Sus scrofa: one gene and its partner. The main gene of each other region encodes a partner of the protein of the gene in region 2 in a complex. Links are inferred from orthologs where the notes say so. Each region holds a gene or a part of one and is shown on either strand. Other genes may lie near its edges.

What was found.
Region 1: TONSL (region 2) and MMS22L share a complex: the UniProt entries of both Homo sapiens proteins name them as parts of the MMS22L-TONSL complex. The link is inferred for Sus scrofa from reciprocal best matches to the Homo sapiens genes TONSL and MMS22L.

The regions. Positions count from the first base shown.
Region 1 is NC_010443.5:64,327,306-64,331,109, forward strand, and holds part of MMS22L (protein MMS22-like), read right to left. Parts: intron 2,592-3,804; coding exon 2,422-2,591; intron 1-2,421. UniProt on the Homo sapiens protein: Component of the MMS22L-TONSL complex, a complex that promotes homologous recombination-mediated repair of double-strand breaks (DSBs) at stalled or collapsed replication forks.
Region 2 is NC_010446.5:348,514-352,997, forward strand, and holds the start of TONSL (tonsoku-like protein), read left to right. Parts: upstream 1-1,478; 5' UTR 1,479-1,560; coding exon 1,561-1,585; intron 1,586-1,685; coding exon 1,686-1,781; intron 1,782-1,969; coding exon 1,970-2,112; intron 2,113-2,627; coding exon 2,628-2,811; intron 2,812-3,088; coding exon 3,089-3,218; intron 3,219-3,547; coding exon 3,548-3,719; intron 3,720-3,834; coding exon 3,835-3,949; intron 3,950-4,375; coding exon 4,376-4,484. UniProt on the Homo sapiens protein: Component of the MMS22L-TONSL complex, a complex that promotes homologous recombination-mediated repair of double-strand breaks (DSBs) at stalled or collapsed replication forks.

The DNA of each region.
Region 1 (3,804 bases), on a different chromosome or scaffold from region 2:
AGAAGTTAACATATTTTCACATTTTATACTTACAAACGAACAACTTGAGAAATAGATTTCTTCTACCAATACCGCTAAATATTGCGTACTGCTAAATAATCACCAATCGAGCAACAAACTATGCTCTAAAAGTTCATTTATAATTTGGTAAATTTGTGGTTTGCAATGTATTTTCCCAGAGAAATAATCAGAAATGATAGACATATTTTCACTTTAGCTGTAAATGGTATTTACCCAATAAGAAATTTTGAAAGTTTATTTCTAATTAAGAATAGCACAGAGTTGTTAAAACACAAGCACTTAAGGGAGTTCCTGTCATGCCTCAGTGGGTTAAGAACCTGACTAATATCCATGAGGATGTGGGTTCGATCCCTGCCCTTGCTCAGTGGGTTAAAGGGTTCGGTGTTGTCAGTGAGCTGTGGTGTAGGTCACAGACATGGCTTGGATCCAGCATTGCTGTGGCTGTGGTGTAGGCCAGCAGCTGCAGCTCCGATTTGTCCCCCAGCATGGGACCTTCCATATGCCGCAGGTGCGGCCCTAAAAAGAAGAAAAACAAAACAAAACTCTTAAACAACAATTGGGAAAAAAAAAAAGCCACCCCCCCACACGTTTCTTCAATGCTCTGTTTGAGAAAAAGCATGTTAAGTCAGAAGATAAAGTAATAAATGGATATTTTTTAAAAATTCTGAAGAGGAGAGTTTATACCCTTAAGAAATAAAAGAGTTCCAAACCAGTTCTGTCAAATGGATACTTCACTGGATTTTTCAACTAAGGAAGTTTATACGAATTCTTATTAAGTGGACTATTTTGGTTTCAGAGGGTCACACAGGGCGAGCACTCCACACTCGCCTGCTGCCCATAAGTCCCCTCCACCCATCTTCCCCTCTGTGGGACTGGTAGCCCAAGCTTTACCTTTCTGATAATGGACACACTAAACTTTGTTTTAAATGCTACTAACTTAGCGTTTAAAGAGCCAACTTAAAATTTATTGGAAATTGTGAAAATCTATTTTAAAAATCCATCTGTGTAAGAGACTGCTTATTACCTAATCAAAATCCATTCTCCTCTTCCTCCTCAATTTCCTTTGCTGGATACCAAGGTAAGAAGCCCATATCTTCAGTATCAGGTACTAACAAATAATGAAGTGTATCTCTAGCCCCATCCTTTCCCCTTCATGACAGATCAGTGTTTCCAAGTACCTACTGGACATCATTACCTAGATATTCCACAGCATCTCACATCGAAGCTGCTCAGAAATCAATTATTATTATTATTATTTTTTTTGTCTTTTTGCTATTTCTTTGGTCCGCTCCCGTGGCATATGGAGGTTCCCAGGCTAGGGGTCTAATCGGAGCTGTAGCCACTGGCCTACGCCAGAGCCACAGCAATGCAGGATCCGAGCCGCGTCTGCAACCTACACCACAGCTCACAGCAATGCTGGATCGTTAACCCACTGAGCAAGGGCAGGGACCGAACCCGCAACCTCATGGTTCCTAGTCGAATTGGTTAACCACTGCGCCACGACGGGAACTCCAGAAATCAATTCTTAATTTCATTCCTATGTCTCGAGAATTTTCCATTTTGGTTAGTAGAACTACTACTGACATAAACAGCCACCATGGAATCTAGGGAGTATTCTATTTCTTTCTGTTGTTCTACAATGGTCACTCAGCAAGACTTTGTGACTGGAGATCCTAAATGTTTCTGAAATCTGCTGTGTGCCTCTATAACCACTGCCTTAGTTCAAAACCCTCAAATAATGAACAACTTATTGCCTTCCAAGTCTCTAATCCATCTTCCACACCAACTTCAATGATGCCACCAGAATCACCTTTCTAAAATGTAAATATGACATGCGACCCCACTTCTCTGTGTCAAAGCCATCAACAGTCCCCATGTACAAGAATAAGTCCAATCTTCTGAGCACGGCACCCAAAGCCCTTCATTACACGCTTCCTCCTGATGCGTCTCCAGCTGGAAGAGAACATCATATTTTCTTGTAGCTCATGTCCTCCACATGCTGTTCCCTCTGACAGGACTCTCCTTCAACTCCTACCCACTCTGCTCTCTGACACCTAACATCCTTTACTACAGTATCTTCTCTTGCATCTCCTCATCCCAGAACGGCTAACAGACAGCTAAGGCCTCTAAGGAAAATACTGAGCACACTGCTGTGTCTATGCTTGCAACTTTAAGCTTCTTGAAGGTGGAGACTTTGCCTCTTCCACCTTTGTTTACAGAACTCAGCACAAAAGGGATTTTAAGCCTGTTCAAGGGAAGTGCAACATCACACATGTACATCAGGATTACAATGTACCACTTTGAAACCTGCAGTCAGTAAAGTGGTTTAAAGTCAAGTGACAAATTTTTCTTTCTCTCTTTCCTATTTTTTTAAACTTTAAGCAGCCACACTTACTGTACCTGGAGATACAAAGGAAGACTCTTCTGAATCGCAGTCAACATAGGTGCAGGTAGCTCCTTCTCTTGCTGTAACACTGTATGTGGCAGCAGTAAACAGTCTATGATCCGGAATAGTAATTTTTGGGCTTTAGAGGTGGCAAAAATTTGTGCCCATGATTTAACAAGAACTCCTAACAAAGAAGAGCAGACACAGAAAGTACAGTTATCTTCTAACCAGAAACTTCTATTATTCTTCTAAAAATTTTATATTTAAAACACATAGAACCAAGTAAAAGTTGGCAATAGGAAGAAACATATATTAAGAGTGAAAAGACTTATGCTAAGAATTTCACTAAAGAGACAACTCTCTCAGAGTTCTGGGCCAAAAAGAACATACACTGCCTGAGCAACTGGCATTTAATACAAATATACATAGTGTGTAGTTATACATTATGTGAATATATAAATTGAATATTGCAATTAAGCAGATATCCCTCGTTGCTCTGGCTGCTAGGAAACTCAGAGGCAAATTTACAGTCCAACTTTAAGAACACCATAAGATCATACATTATGCTCCTAAATATACATTTACTTTTCCATAGGCTTCATCATGTTACTATTCCATATTTTCTTGATACCCTTATTTCTTTATATTTTTATCTTGCATTTAACTTACAGACTGGCACAACCCAGTTTGCAACAAGAGGTATAACTAAATTTAATTGCTATAGTACGTAAAAAGATTAGCTATAACATCTTGAAACAGTCACTTAACCTCCTTGAAACTAAGTTTTTATAACTTTCAGTTATTTAACATGAACGGTGAATTTAAATTGTGATTTTAAAAGAAGAGGAACAGATCTCTTTACTACATGAAATATATTATGATTTCCTTAATGATGGGGGTCTGTAAATTTCCTTAATGATGGGAGACTACATTTAATGATAGTCAACAAATGAGCACCCTTTGTTCAATAAAGTAATTAAGAGAAGATATATTCTTCTTTTTAGAGTCTATTACTGCTACTGAAATCTTCACTGAAAAAAAATGAATTTAAAAGATCACTAAGCATTTGTCCAAGTAGTAGTGGTGCATGTGCTGCATAAACTTTTATATTTTATTCAATCTTAGAATAGCAAAAAAGATGATAAAATTCAAAGTCATTTCCATAAAACAAAAAGTTTAAAATTCAAGCTCTGAAGGAAAACACAATATGCTTCTAGAAGAATATATAGATGTTAAAAAAAACAACCAATAATCACTTCTAAGAACAACAAACAGCAACATTAATCTTCTGTTATAAAAGGAAATACAATAATCAATCATAAAGAAACACAATGCTCACTTAGCAATATTTTAAATAATGCTGGCTTGCTTCTCATTTTTCTAGTAGGTGAAAAACT
Region 2 (4,484 bases):
TTACATGTGGCTTTTGTGGTCTGTGCTCTTTGGATGTTTTCTGCATGTAACTGCAGTTTTAAAAAGTTCCAAACCAAGCTTTTGTTTCTGTCTTCTTATAAGAAGACAGCTTCGTGGACGGGCTTCCGGCTGGGCTCGGCGCGCCTCCCAGCCAGGGGTCCGCTGCTGCCCCTGCTGGCTCCCAGCCTGGGCCCCCCACCGCCGGGCTCCCAGCCTCTCGCTCAGCTCTGCCTCCTACACGCACCCCTGATCCCTCTGTGGGGAAACCGAGGCGTGGAGAAGCTGCTCCACTCTGAGTGCTGGCGCCGGAGTGGGAAGGAGCCCTGAGCCCTCCGCCCTCTGCCCGGGTTTCTGTGGCTCAGCGCCCCCTCCCCACGCTGTCTCCCCCGTTGCCCTTCACATCTCACCAGCCTGCCTGCCAGTCATCCACCTTGGTTTCAGGGCCTCCTGTCCTGCCCTCTGGGCCCCTGGGGGCAGGGTGAGAGAGGACCACATCACTCAGGAGCCACAGAGGAGGGCCACCTGTGGCCGACTTCTCACTTCCTGTGGCTCCTCCTTCTCTGGACCTGGCACCCATCCAACCTCCCTATTACTCCCTCAACAGCAGGCCTTGCTGCCCTTCCACTGGCAGAGAGTTTTACCCCACTGGGTTTGTTTCCATATCCACAGAAAATAAAACTGCCCATTGCCCACTTCTTCCAGGCCTCCTCTGGGGCCTTCGGGGTGCCCAGGGCCCCGTGGCAGGCCAGGGACTGAGAGCCCCAAGGTCTGGCAGGTCTTTGATTCTCAAGGTGTGGGGGAAAGGACAGGACAGGCATTCGAGTTCTGAGGCCAGGTGCCCCACGACCACAGGGGCCCCCGTGTCCTCCTGCGCTGAGAAGTCGGCTAGAGCGCTGTGGGCTTCGTTCCTGCTCCTTTTTCCCTCTCAGCACAAAACAGGTTTGCAGGCTGTACTCCCGAGTTTTCCAGGAAAACAACTGGCTGGCGTGCACATCGAGGAAGCAGCATTTTGCTCAGTTCATTTTGGAAAACAGTCCCCTTCCCTCCCCACCCCCGACCCCGGCCCTGGAGGTAGGAGCCCCACACGTGACGACTGTGGCGCGCTCGAGGCTCTTCCACGGGTTCTGTGACAGGGACACCTCTGATTACGCCAAGTACTCAAGTGCTTGCGGTCCCAGACTCCGTCCTCTTCTCCCACGCGAGGGCAGTGCGCTCCGCAGATCAAGCCGCACGGGCAGGTAAGTTTGCGGGCTGGCAGGACAGTGGCAGCAGGGGTGGGAGCCCCGGAGTTCCCACCTCGAGGGCAGCTGCGGGCTGAGGGGCGGTGCCAGGAATCTGGGGAGGCGCCCTCCATCTCGCCCCGCCCCGCGCCCCCCTTCCGGGCCAGGCGCCAGCACGACTACAGCTCCCAGGATGCCTCGGACGACTGGACTACACTTCCCAGGATGCTCCGCGGGCCGCAGGCCCGACTGGGCCTGCGCGCGGCGCCCCAGTGGGAGGGACCGCCGCCAAGGCGCGAGAACGCGGGAAGTCTGGAGCCCCTGGCGCCGCTGCCGGAATATGAGTCTAGACCGCGAGCTTCGCCGTGAGTTCCCTGCCGAGCGCCCGAGCGCAGGGGCCGGGAGCGGGCCTGGCTCTCCCGGGCAGGGGGGCTCCGCATCCAGGCCTCGTCCTTCTTTTTGCAGAGCTGAGCAAGGCCAAGGCTAAGGCGCAGAGGAGCGGGCAGCTGCGGGAGGAGGCTAATCTCTGTCACCAGCTAGGGGAGCTCCTGGCCAGCCATGGTGCGTGGGGTGGAGTCCGGGACTGAGAGGGGGGCGTCGGGAGGACCGGGGGGCCAGGGGCCGGAGGTGGGGAGGCGGCAGGGCGGGGGCCTGCTCAGTGTGCCGCCCAGGGCCGGTCGCTGCCCCACTGGCCCTCGCGGCCCGTGGCCCCCTGTCCGGCCAGACTGGAACGTGCCCCGCCCGCCCAGGCCGATACGCCGAAGCCTTGCGAGAGCACCAGCAAGAGCTGCAGCTCCTGGAGACCGCCGGCGACCCCCTGGGCTGCGCGGTGGCCCACCGCAAGATTGGGGAGCGGCTGGCGGAGATGGAGAACTTCACCGAGGCCCTGCAGGTGAGTGGAGGCCGCGTCTCCTGGGCCCGCGTTGCCCGAGGGTCCGTTTCTGAGGAGGGAGTACAGCCTCCACCGTCCAGGCCCCTGGGGAGAGGGGGACACGCTACCATTGGGCATCACCTTCAGAGAACCCTGTGCCAGGCGACGGCAGCCTGGTCTTTGGATGGGTACACCACAGCCGGGCCGCAGAAAGCCCTCGTGAACATATTTCTGGAGCTGAGTTTGTGGGCTGGTTGGAATCCTGACTTTTTCTACACAGAGCTGCCTAGTCCCTGGCTTCTGGGGCTGCAGCAGCCCCCCTAACTCCCACTCATCTCCCCGGTGATGACTCTGGCTGGTTGGAGCGGGGTGCTACCGTCCCCACAGGCAGCCCTTGGCAAAGAGATAACGGGTGTGTGTGGCATACTCTGGGGGCTTGGGGAGTGGAGAGCTCTTCTAGGCGTCCCCCTGGAGTTGGGGAAGGCGTGGGTTGCTTGAGGTGGGGCTTGGCTCACAGGGGTCATTCTGTGCCCCAGCACCAGCACCACTACCTGGACCTGGCACGTTCCCTGTCCAACCACACTGAACAACAGAGGGCCTGGGCCACCATTGGCCGCACTCACTTGGACATCTATGACCACCAGCAGACAGAGGACGCCTTGCTGCAGGCGCAGGCGGCCTTCGAGAAAAGCTTGGCTATCGTGGATGAGAAGCTTCAGGGTGACTGCCCTTGGGACCTGGCTCTCCCCACCTTCTACCTCCCGAACTCCGCGGGGAGAGGAGGCTTCAGCCCCAGCGCCTGCCTGCCCTGTGTGGCAGGACCCCCCTGAGGGGACGCCTGGCCTGTGCTCCTCCCCGCCTGGGGTCTGGCTGCCTCTGCTCTTTGTCCCTCCACACTGCAGCAGAGCCCCTGGTGCCTACGAGAGGCTGGATAGGGCCTAAGGCTGGCGAGCCCCAGCGGGCCGAGGTGCTGAGTGTCTGGAGGCATGTCTTCCAGGGACACTGGCCAAGCGGGAGCTGAGTGAGATGAGAACCCGACTCTACCTCAACCTGGGCCTCACCTTCGAGAGCCTGCGGCAGGCCGCCCTGTGCAGCGCCTACTTGAAGAAGAGCATCTTTCTTGCTGAGTAAGGCCTCACTTGACCCCTAGAGGGAGCCGAGCGCCCCGTTCCTGGAGGAAGCAGCTGCTGCCCCCTAGGCTGCTCCCAGACCCTGCTGTGAGGGGTGAGGAGCGAGGGGCAAGGGGCTGGGCTGACCTCACACCTCTGCCCCTGGCAGTTTCCTATTAGCATAGAAGCCTGGCACGTCTGTGCCTCAGGCTGGGGCCAGAGCAGGCTCTGCTTCGTGGGGGCTGGGATCCCAAATGGCATCAGAGGTTGCACATCGGCACTTCCGGTGCCCACCCTGCTGTCCCAAAGCCAAGTGCCTCAGCACGAGGGCCTGTCCCCACCCACAGGCAGAACCACCTCTACGAGGACCTCTTTCGCGCCCGCTACAACCTGGGAGCCATCCACTGGCGTCAGGGGCAGCACTCCGATGCCATGCGCTGCCTGGAGGGGGCCCGGGAGTGCGCACGCCTCCTGAAGCAGGGCTTCATGGAGAGCGAGTGCTGCGTGCTCATCTCGCAGGTGCCAGTGGTTCCCGGCAGCTCCGGGCCCAGCTCCCGGGGTGGGGTGGGGGGGGTGGGGGTGGGTGGCCGGCCTTCGGAAGCCTGCGAGCCTCCCTCCCCTTCCCCCCCCCCAGGTCCTCCAAGACCTTGGGGATTTTTTGGCTGCCAAGAGAGCCTTGAAGAAGGCCTATAGGCTTGGCTCCCAGAAGCCTTTGCAGAAGGCAGTGGTCTGCCGGACCCTCAAGTATGGTGAGCCTAAAGGGGACCCTGGGGGCTGAACCCCTCAAAGGGGGTAGGAAGTTCCCCTCCTCCTTCAGCAGAGGAGGCCTGGGCGTGTGTCTTTTGGGAGGTGACAACAGCCACATGGGGCCCCCCCACCTCGTTGGGAGGAGCTTCTCAGGGTGTCGGGGTGGGGGCGATGAGGTGGGAGTGCGGGCAGTCCGTGTGGCCTCAGGGCCTGGTAGGGGGCAGTCAGCGGGGTCCCCATGCTGCCAGTCCTTCTCTGCCCTAAGCGGTCCTTAATCAGCCTTCCCAGTCCTTGTGGTGACCTCTCGAGGCAGCTCCGCCCCCCCGTCCAGCCTCCTTGCCGACCCACATGCCAGCGCAGGCTGGGGCTTGCAGGTGGCAGGGCTGGGTCAGGCCCCCTGCCACCCAGCACGAGGCTCTTTCCGGCAGTGCTGGCGGTGGTCCAGCTGCAGCAGCAGCTGGAGGAGTGTGAGGGTCATGACCCGCAAAGCGCCATGAGCATCTGTGAGCAGCTGGGGGACCTGTTCTCCAAGGCAGG